Cricetulus griseus: one gene and its partner. The protein of the gene in region 1 purifies or fractionates together with the protein of each later gene. This does not show direct contact. Links are inferred from orthologs where the notes say so. Each region holds a gene or a part of one and is shown in the gene's direction. Other genes may lie near its edges. The genes, in order: Wdtc1 and Cul4b.

Evidence for each region.
Region 2: the proteins of Wdtc1 (region 1) and Cul4b purify together in Homo sapiens (affinity purification with mass spectrometry; 4 studies listed by BioGRID and IntAct, counting the BioPlex papers as one, with this or other methods). This does not show direct contact. The link is inferred for Cricetulus griseus from reciprocal best matches to the Homo sapiens genes WDTC1 and CUL4B.

What each region holds. Positions count from the first base shown.
Region 1 is NC_048595.1:19,981,608-19,985,423, forward strand, and holds part of Wdtc1 (WD and tetratricopeptide repeats protein 1), read left to right. Parts: intron 1-1,049; coding exon 1,050-1,285; intron 1,286-2,089; coding exon 2,090-2,261; intron 2,262-3,334; coding exon 3,335-3,527; intron 3,528-3,816. UniProt on the Homo sapiens protein: May function as a substrate receptor for CUL4-DDB1 E3 ubiquitin-protein ligase complex.
Region 2 is NC_048604.1:28,554,861-28,558,676, forward strand, and holds part of Cul4b (cullin-4B), read left to right. Parts: intron 1-1,111; coding exon 1,112-1,284; intron 1,285-2,539; coding exon 2,540-2,692; intron 2,693-3,816.

The sequences.
Region 1 (3,816 bases):
TCCTAGTCCCAGTGGCTGCTCCAAGGGCTGGATGTTCCTTCTGACTACCTGGCAAGAGGAGAGTCAGAAGCATCTTCTATATAGGCTGATTTTGGCCATACAGGAATACTGTGAACTGTGCCGTTAGCCTTATGATAGGCCCACCCCAGCCCAGTTGGAAGTGGGGGAGGGGGGCTTCAATTCCAAACACTGAAGAAAACCAACAAATGCATGTCTCTAAAGAGGAAAGTGGCCCTCATTGCTGCTTGACTGTACAGACGAGAGGCAAAGAGGCAACGGGGGAGGCATGCCTCCTGTCTTGGCTCAGCGTAGGAACATGAGGGCTTTTCCCTTTCCCCTCTCCAGTAGAAAGCATCTCCACTTCCCTTTATCCATACTTTCCCTTTGGAGAAACGAGTAGAGAGGATTTGGAGCTCCTGGCGAGCACAGCCCCCTCACCATCAGCTTCCAGAGAGCTGACTTTGCCAGACAGCCAGGCCCCATCCTCCAGCCCCAGGAGGTGGAGGCCACAGCTGCTGCAGATCAGTCAGCCAGGACAGAGGGGGGTCTGGCTGAGGGAGCACTGCCTGCTGGTCAGACCCTGAGCCCCCGGCCTAGCACTTCTGGCTTTTCCAGACCACAGAACTGTCCTTGAGGGCCCCCTGCCTTGGACATAGCTTTGAAGGCCAGCAGGGGGATTTGAGGAGGTGGATGAAGGAAAAGAGAAGGAGGGCTTGGGGAGTCTAAGGTGGGCAAGATGCCAAGCCTTCTGCTGCAGAGCTGCGGGTGCCTGAGGTGAGCTGTGCACAGTTGCCGTCTGTGCCCGGCAGAGGGCAGCCCAACACTGCTTTTTACTGTCTCAAACCTCAGGGTTCCTGGCTTGCTCCTTAGCTTGCTCCATCTCCCAGGGAGGGAGTACCGGGCTAAGCCAAGGCTTCATTTCCATGTCTCCTCACTCTAAAGTCTGTTAGAGGTGAGCTGGAAGTAGCCACAGAAAATGGAGACTGAGTGGGAGCCTTGTGCTTGCTACATGGCCTCACCTCTAAGCTGCTATTCCTCTATCTTCCCAGGGATGGTGACCACTATGACGCCCTCCGGGACTGCCTCAAGGCCATCTCCTTGAACCCTTGCCACCTGAAGGCACACTTCCGTCTGGCCCGATGCCTCTTTGAACTGAAGTATGTGGCTGAGGCTCTGGAGTGCCTGGATGACTTCAAAGGGAAGTTCCCAGAGCAGGCCCACAGCAGTGCTTGTGATGCATTGGGCCGGGACATCACAGCTGCCCTTTTCTCCAAGAATGATGGTGGTGAGTGCTGAGCAGAGGTTGCTGTGGATTTCTTCCTTAGGGCTACAGGATCCCGAAAGGACGTGGTTCTGTGTTCCATCGGGAAGCCCTGGCTTCAGATGCAGATTCAGAAAACCCTAGGGCCTAAGACATAAGACAGTCTGCTGATCCCCGAAACCCAGTTTCCACACCTGAAGGGACGGCAGCCAGCACCTCCCATTGAAAGCCTCTGTTGAGGGTAGTGAGAGCATTCAAGATGCCAGGTACAGAAGTCATCTGAGCCAGTCAGGCTATGTGGACTCCAGCTGGGCCTTCCCACCTGTTTCCAGACTGGGCCGTGGCAGCTTACTGGGCTGAGGGGCAAGTGGTATTTGTTGCCTTTGTTTCAGTCTTGCAAGAGTGGCAGACACGGTGGCTAGGGCATCTGTGATGCCTTAGTTCTCAGCTCAGCTCCCCCGGGTAGAACTGTGTGTGTGTGGCCATGCATACAGCATAGCCTCCAGACCAGTGCCACCTAAGCGCACACAGAGCCTGCCCAGTTCCTCTTGCTAGAGTTGTAGGGAGAGCTGGGGTGTGGTAATATGGACTACAAACATGGAAAACGGTCTCGCTGGAGGGAGATGCCTAGCGCAGATTTGTTCATTCAGAGAATACTGTTAGGCTGAAAGCAGTGGTGCTTATCCATGCAGCCTTCTCAGTTTCTGGAGTGAGGGTGGAGGTGGGCAGCCACATGTCTCCAGCATTGGACTGCAAGCAGACAGAGCTAGAGGAGCCAGTGAGCATGTGGGGGAAAGCCTCTCACCTCTCCTTGATCTCTGCCTCCAGAGGAGAAGAAGGCAGCTGGTGGCGGTCCAGTTCGCCTCCGCAGCACAAATCGCAAGGATTCCATCTCAGAGGATGAAATGGTGCTACGGGAACGGAGCTACGACTATCAGTTCCGCTACTGTGGCCACTGCAACACCACAACAGACATCAAGGAGGCAAACTTCTTTGGCAGGTCTGAGGCCCGTATCACAATTGGCAGCAGGAGTTTGTGGGCTGTGGCCACTCATTGCCTGGCCCGCCTTTGTGGCCTGCCCTTGGGTATCTCTGCTAGGCTCTGTTTGTCTGTTCGGTGAAGCCAGCCATGTACCGCTCAGGAGTCACAGCAGACTGCCCTGAATGCAGCATCCAGCACTGTGCTGGAGCAGTCTCCTCTGCCCCTCCCGACTCTGTCTCCTATCCCAGAGCTTGCTTGCTTTATCTGGGCAGTTGGAGCTTTTCTCTGCTGCTGAAAGGGGAGGCAACAACTGTCAAAGGCTGGGCACCTCAGACCACTGTGCTTGGAACTGTGCCCTAGGTACTGAGGGACAGAGCCTGTATTCTCAGACACTGCCACCCTAAGCCCCATCCTTCCTTCGTTTATACCCTTTGGGTAGGTAAGGCACAAGGACATAAATCAAGCAAGTCTTCTCTGCCAAGATGAGGGCTCACAGTTATGAGGCCTGTGTTGTGGGTGGACTGTAGGATTTGATAGCTGGACCCAAGAAGTCTTGGAGTTCTGAGTGAGCCTTAACTAGATGAGGGTGTTCTTAGAGACCTAAGCGATGGATACAAGAGTTAGTCCAACACCAAGGAGGTAATGGTGTACCTTGGGGATACTGTGGTACCATCTTGGAAGGACCCAGAGAATCACTGATATTGGGTGTTTTGTTGTTATTTTGTTGGGGTTTTTTGTTGTTTTGTTTTTCTGGACAGGGTTTCTCTGTGTAGCCCTATCTGTCCTGGGACTCTCTGTAGACCTGGCTGGCCTTGAATTCACAGAAATCCACCTGTCTCTGCCTTCCGAGTATTAGGATCAAAGGTGTGCTCAGTCCTCTACCCCAACTGATGTTGAATTTTCATACAGTAATGACTAGTACCTGTAGTATGGAGGAGGAAGACCATTTGCCTAGGAGAGTTCTGAGTCAAGGGTAGCTCCTTGAGTGTGGGGGACTGAGTGGTCCCAGGCTTCGCCGTTTCCCTCAAGCCTTTACTTGAGGCTTTAGGCCAGTCTCCCACCTGACCTTCCTGCCATTTGTCCCCTGCCAGCAACGCTCAATACATCGTCAGTGGCTCTGATGATGGCTCCTTCTTCGTCTGGGAAAAGGAAACCACCAACTTAGTCCGAGTGCTCCAGGGGGATGAGTCCATTGTCAACTGCTTGCAGCCGCATCCCAGCTATTGCTTCCTGGCCACCAGTGGCATTGACCCTGTTGTGCGACTCTGGAATCCACGGCCAGAGGTGAGGACACAGGCAAGGTGGCCAAAGCCAGACAACAAGGAGCGTAGGGACTGTGTTTAGAGCCTCGGGCTGAGCTTCAGTGCTGGGGAAGGGAATGAGCCATATAGCCTAGAAGCTGCTGGGAAGGTGGGAACCCCGGGCCCAGGAAGTCCTAAGTACAGTGGGGCATTTCTGGGGTGAGACTGGCTTTCACAGTCTTGGAACATCTCCTTGAGCTAGATGTGAAGGTGAAATACCCATCCACCAAGAGCAGGTATGCAAAAAGGAAGACAGGACTGGACCAGCCTCT
Region 2 (3,816 bases), on another chromosome or scaffold:
TATCCCCTAGAGCTTGAGTTAGGGGGTTGTGAGCCACCATGTAGATGCTGGGAACTGACATCTATCTGGTCTTCTGAAAGACCAGAAAGTACTCCTCAGTGGTGAGATGTCTCTCCAGCCCCCTCCTGTATTTCTTTTGTTTGTTTTGTTTTTCAAGGTAGGATTTCTCTAACAGCCCGGCTGTCCTGGCACTCATTTTGTAGACCAGGCTGGCCTTGAATTCACAGAGTGAATTCCCAAGCGCTGGGATTAAAGGTGTGCCACCACTGCCTGGCTTCTCTGTATTCTTAATAATGTCAAAACCAGTAAGTACCAGTATGTAGTGCTAACAAGAAGTATGTTAAGAGAAGCTAGAGATTATTGTGGAAGGAAGTGGGACTTGAGTTAGGCCTTTAAATTTTGGTTGGAGAGAAGGCATCTGAAATAAAGGAACTAGTATGAAGAAAGGCTTGGGTAGTGTAAGTTGGAAGCATGAAAAGTTTGTAGCTTAGAATGGTGAGTTATAAAATTCAATAGGTAAGATGTATAAATAGACTGATGAATACAGCTGAAACCTGAGCTATAGTGACTTAAAGGAAATAACCTATTTGCACAACTTACCTGGCATTAGTAGGGCCAGCCACCCGAAACAGGAAAAGATTCTAGCCTAGAAACTGTAAAGATAATTGTGATATGAAGTTCTAAAGGGCTTCTAGTAGAACGATTCCAACAGCAATGGAATTACTAGAGCCATATGGAATGAAGGAGAAGGAGGACTTAAAAGATGAGTCTAGGGGTTTTCATTGAATTAGGTTAGTAGTAGTGTCAGTAGCAATGAAGCAGAGGGTTAATGGAGAATAGAACATACTGGAGTGATAATAAAACAGTCAAATGGTATGCCCTTTTAGTGATTGACTTTAGAGAAGGGGACTGTTACATCAGAAATTTTAGTAGTTGTCTGCATGGGGTAACAAATGTTTTTAGAAGACAACTAGAAAAATATGTTACTGGATAGCACAAAGAGCAGGTGTTGGTGATATGGGGAAAAAAGAATTTAATAGAGAATGTTTATAAATTAAATTGATGTTGAATGTAGTGTTGTGCATGCTGCTAAGCATTATTTCTTCTTCAGAGGATGGAGAATTAAGGAGAACCCTGCAATCACTAGCCTGTGGCAAAGCTAGAGTTCTCACTAAAAATCCAAAGGGCAAAGATATCGAAGATGGTGACAAATTCATTTGTAATGATGATTTCAAACACAAACTATTCAGGATAAAGATCAATCAAATCCAAATGAAAGAAACGGTAAGCCTTTTGCTCTCTCGTTGGACTATATTAGGTTTATATGTGTTTCTAGTAGAAATTTACAGACTACAAATTAATATTATGTGCAGCCAGGTGGTGGTGGCTCACTTTAATCCCAGAACTCGGGGAGGCAGAGGCAGGTGGATCTGTGTGAGTTCACGGCCAGCCTGCCTGGTCTATTGAGCAAGTTCTAGGACAACCTCCAAAGCTACAGAGAAACCCTGTCTGGAAAACCCAAAAAAAAAAAAATTATATGTGCTTGAATGTTACGCCTCATGTGTGTCTGCACCACATCAGGCCTGAGACCCATATGCCAGAAGAGGGCAGTGGATCAACTGGACCTGGAATTATAGATGGGTGTGAATGGTGCTGGAATGTAACCCAGGTCCTTTTAACTGCAGAACCATCTTTCTAGCCCTGAAATTTACAGCTTGTTACTGTTAACATTTCCTGTGCCCACATCTAGCCTAGTACATTTCAATGTTTGATTCTATGTTTCTTTTTGTTGAGGAGTAAACATAATAGGGTTGACAGTCAACATAGTTGTTTGGTTGTTTTGTTTTGTCAAAGGCTCCTGACCCTTGATGCCCAAGGTTGTTCTCTGACATCCCTAACCGCACTGATATAATGCACATACCCCCACACGTTTGTAAACTATCAACAGAATGCTAAATAGCTACATAATCTTGTACATGGCCATTGAAACTTTTAAAAAAGTTCTGTATCTGAATCTTAATCTGTGATCTTTTCCTTAAGATGAATTCATGAAAGTAAATTTTTGGATCAATGGGTATGAACATTTTGAATTTTAGGCAAGGCCAGAGGACAACCTCCAGTGTCATTCCTTAGGAGCTATCCACCTTGTTTCTTGTCATGGTCTTTTACTTGCCTGGAACTCACTAACTAGGCTAGGCTGGCTAGGTATTGAGTTCCAGGAATCAGTTTTTACATGAGTTCACGAAAATCTAAATTTAAAAATCAGGTCCTCATGCTTGCAGGGCAGGCACTTGGTCAACTGAGTCTATCTCCCCAGTCCTCAAAGGTGGTATCTTTTTTCTTAACCTGTATAGATACTGATTTATTTGTATTGATTGGTACAGAACAGTGTGATTAGAACAGAAAGGCCCTATATGTGTCAAGTTTTTTTTCTCTTGTGTCTGTATTTATCAGGTCCCATTTAGGTAACACTGTTATGTCCCTAATGTACAGTTTGTGTTAATAATTAAGTTTGACTTCATTTGAAAACTCTTTTTAGGTTGAAGAACAAGCAAGCACTACAGAAAGAGTATTTCAAGATAGACAATACCAAATTGATGCTGCGATTGTCCGAATTATGAAGATGAGGAAAACACTTAGCCACAATCTTCTTGTCTCAGAGGTCTACAATCAGCTGAAATTTCCAGTAAAAGTAGGTGTTTCTGTGTCTCCATACTGAACTTGTTATAAATGAAAAAATACATTTGATTTTTAGACAATAATCTTGCAAATATAGATAAAAGGCTTAAAGCCATTTAGAAGGACATGAATTTATTTCCTATAGTCATACATACAGTTCACAAAAGAGTGTTGTTGGTATATGTATACAACTGTGACAAATTGGGAAACAATTTACAAAAGCCCCTCCCTGTACTTGAAAGTTTAATGAGTAAATATGACTTTGAAAATTTTGAAGTTAATTCACTATGTATCTTTAGAATCTTCTTTTCTGGAGATAACTTGGCATTTGACATATTTGGTTATTAGATTGAGTTATATCTTGTTTAGTTACCTTATAAATGTTTCTCAAATCTGTTACAGAGGCTGCTGGCTGTATTTTAGTGGTAAAGTAGTTTTAGTGCCTTTGAAAATGTCTAATAATATTTCTAGTAAACTGAAATTGGTCAGTGTATTGACATGTTCCAATACAAATGTCCAGCAATATAGGTATTTATAGACAGTGAGGTGGTGTACTGGACTATTCAAAATTTTAAAAGATTTCTAAACTTTTGTAATAAACATTTGGTAGAAGTTGTATAGACTCCTGGCTGTTAGGATTCCTAGCGCTTTGGATTTTGATAAGGCATTTAATCTTGCTGAGCTTGTTTAGAATTGATAATTATACTTAGCTCCACCATTTTTTAAAGATTCATTCATTCATTCATGAGTGCTCTATCTGCATGCACACCTCTACACCAGAAGAGGGCCCCAGATCTCATTACAGAAGGTTCTGAGCCACCATGTGGGTGCTGGGGATTGAATTTAGGTTGTCTGGAAGAGCGGCCAGTGCTTTTAATCCCTGAGCCATCTCTCCAGCTCCCTCGCACTATTATTTTGAGGCTTAAGTGAGATGGAAAGCACAAAACACGTAGTACTAAGTTTGGTATGTATGTAGGTATGTAGTAGCTATTACTTTTAATATTACTTTTAATAAGGTAGTCTGCTTCTCTAAACCTCATGCCTTCTCATTACCACACTTGCTCACATGCTCACCTAGTCATTTCATCTCCAGCAAGAGTGCTTACTGATGTTAGAATGGAAGAGATCACTCACTAT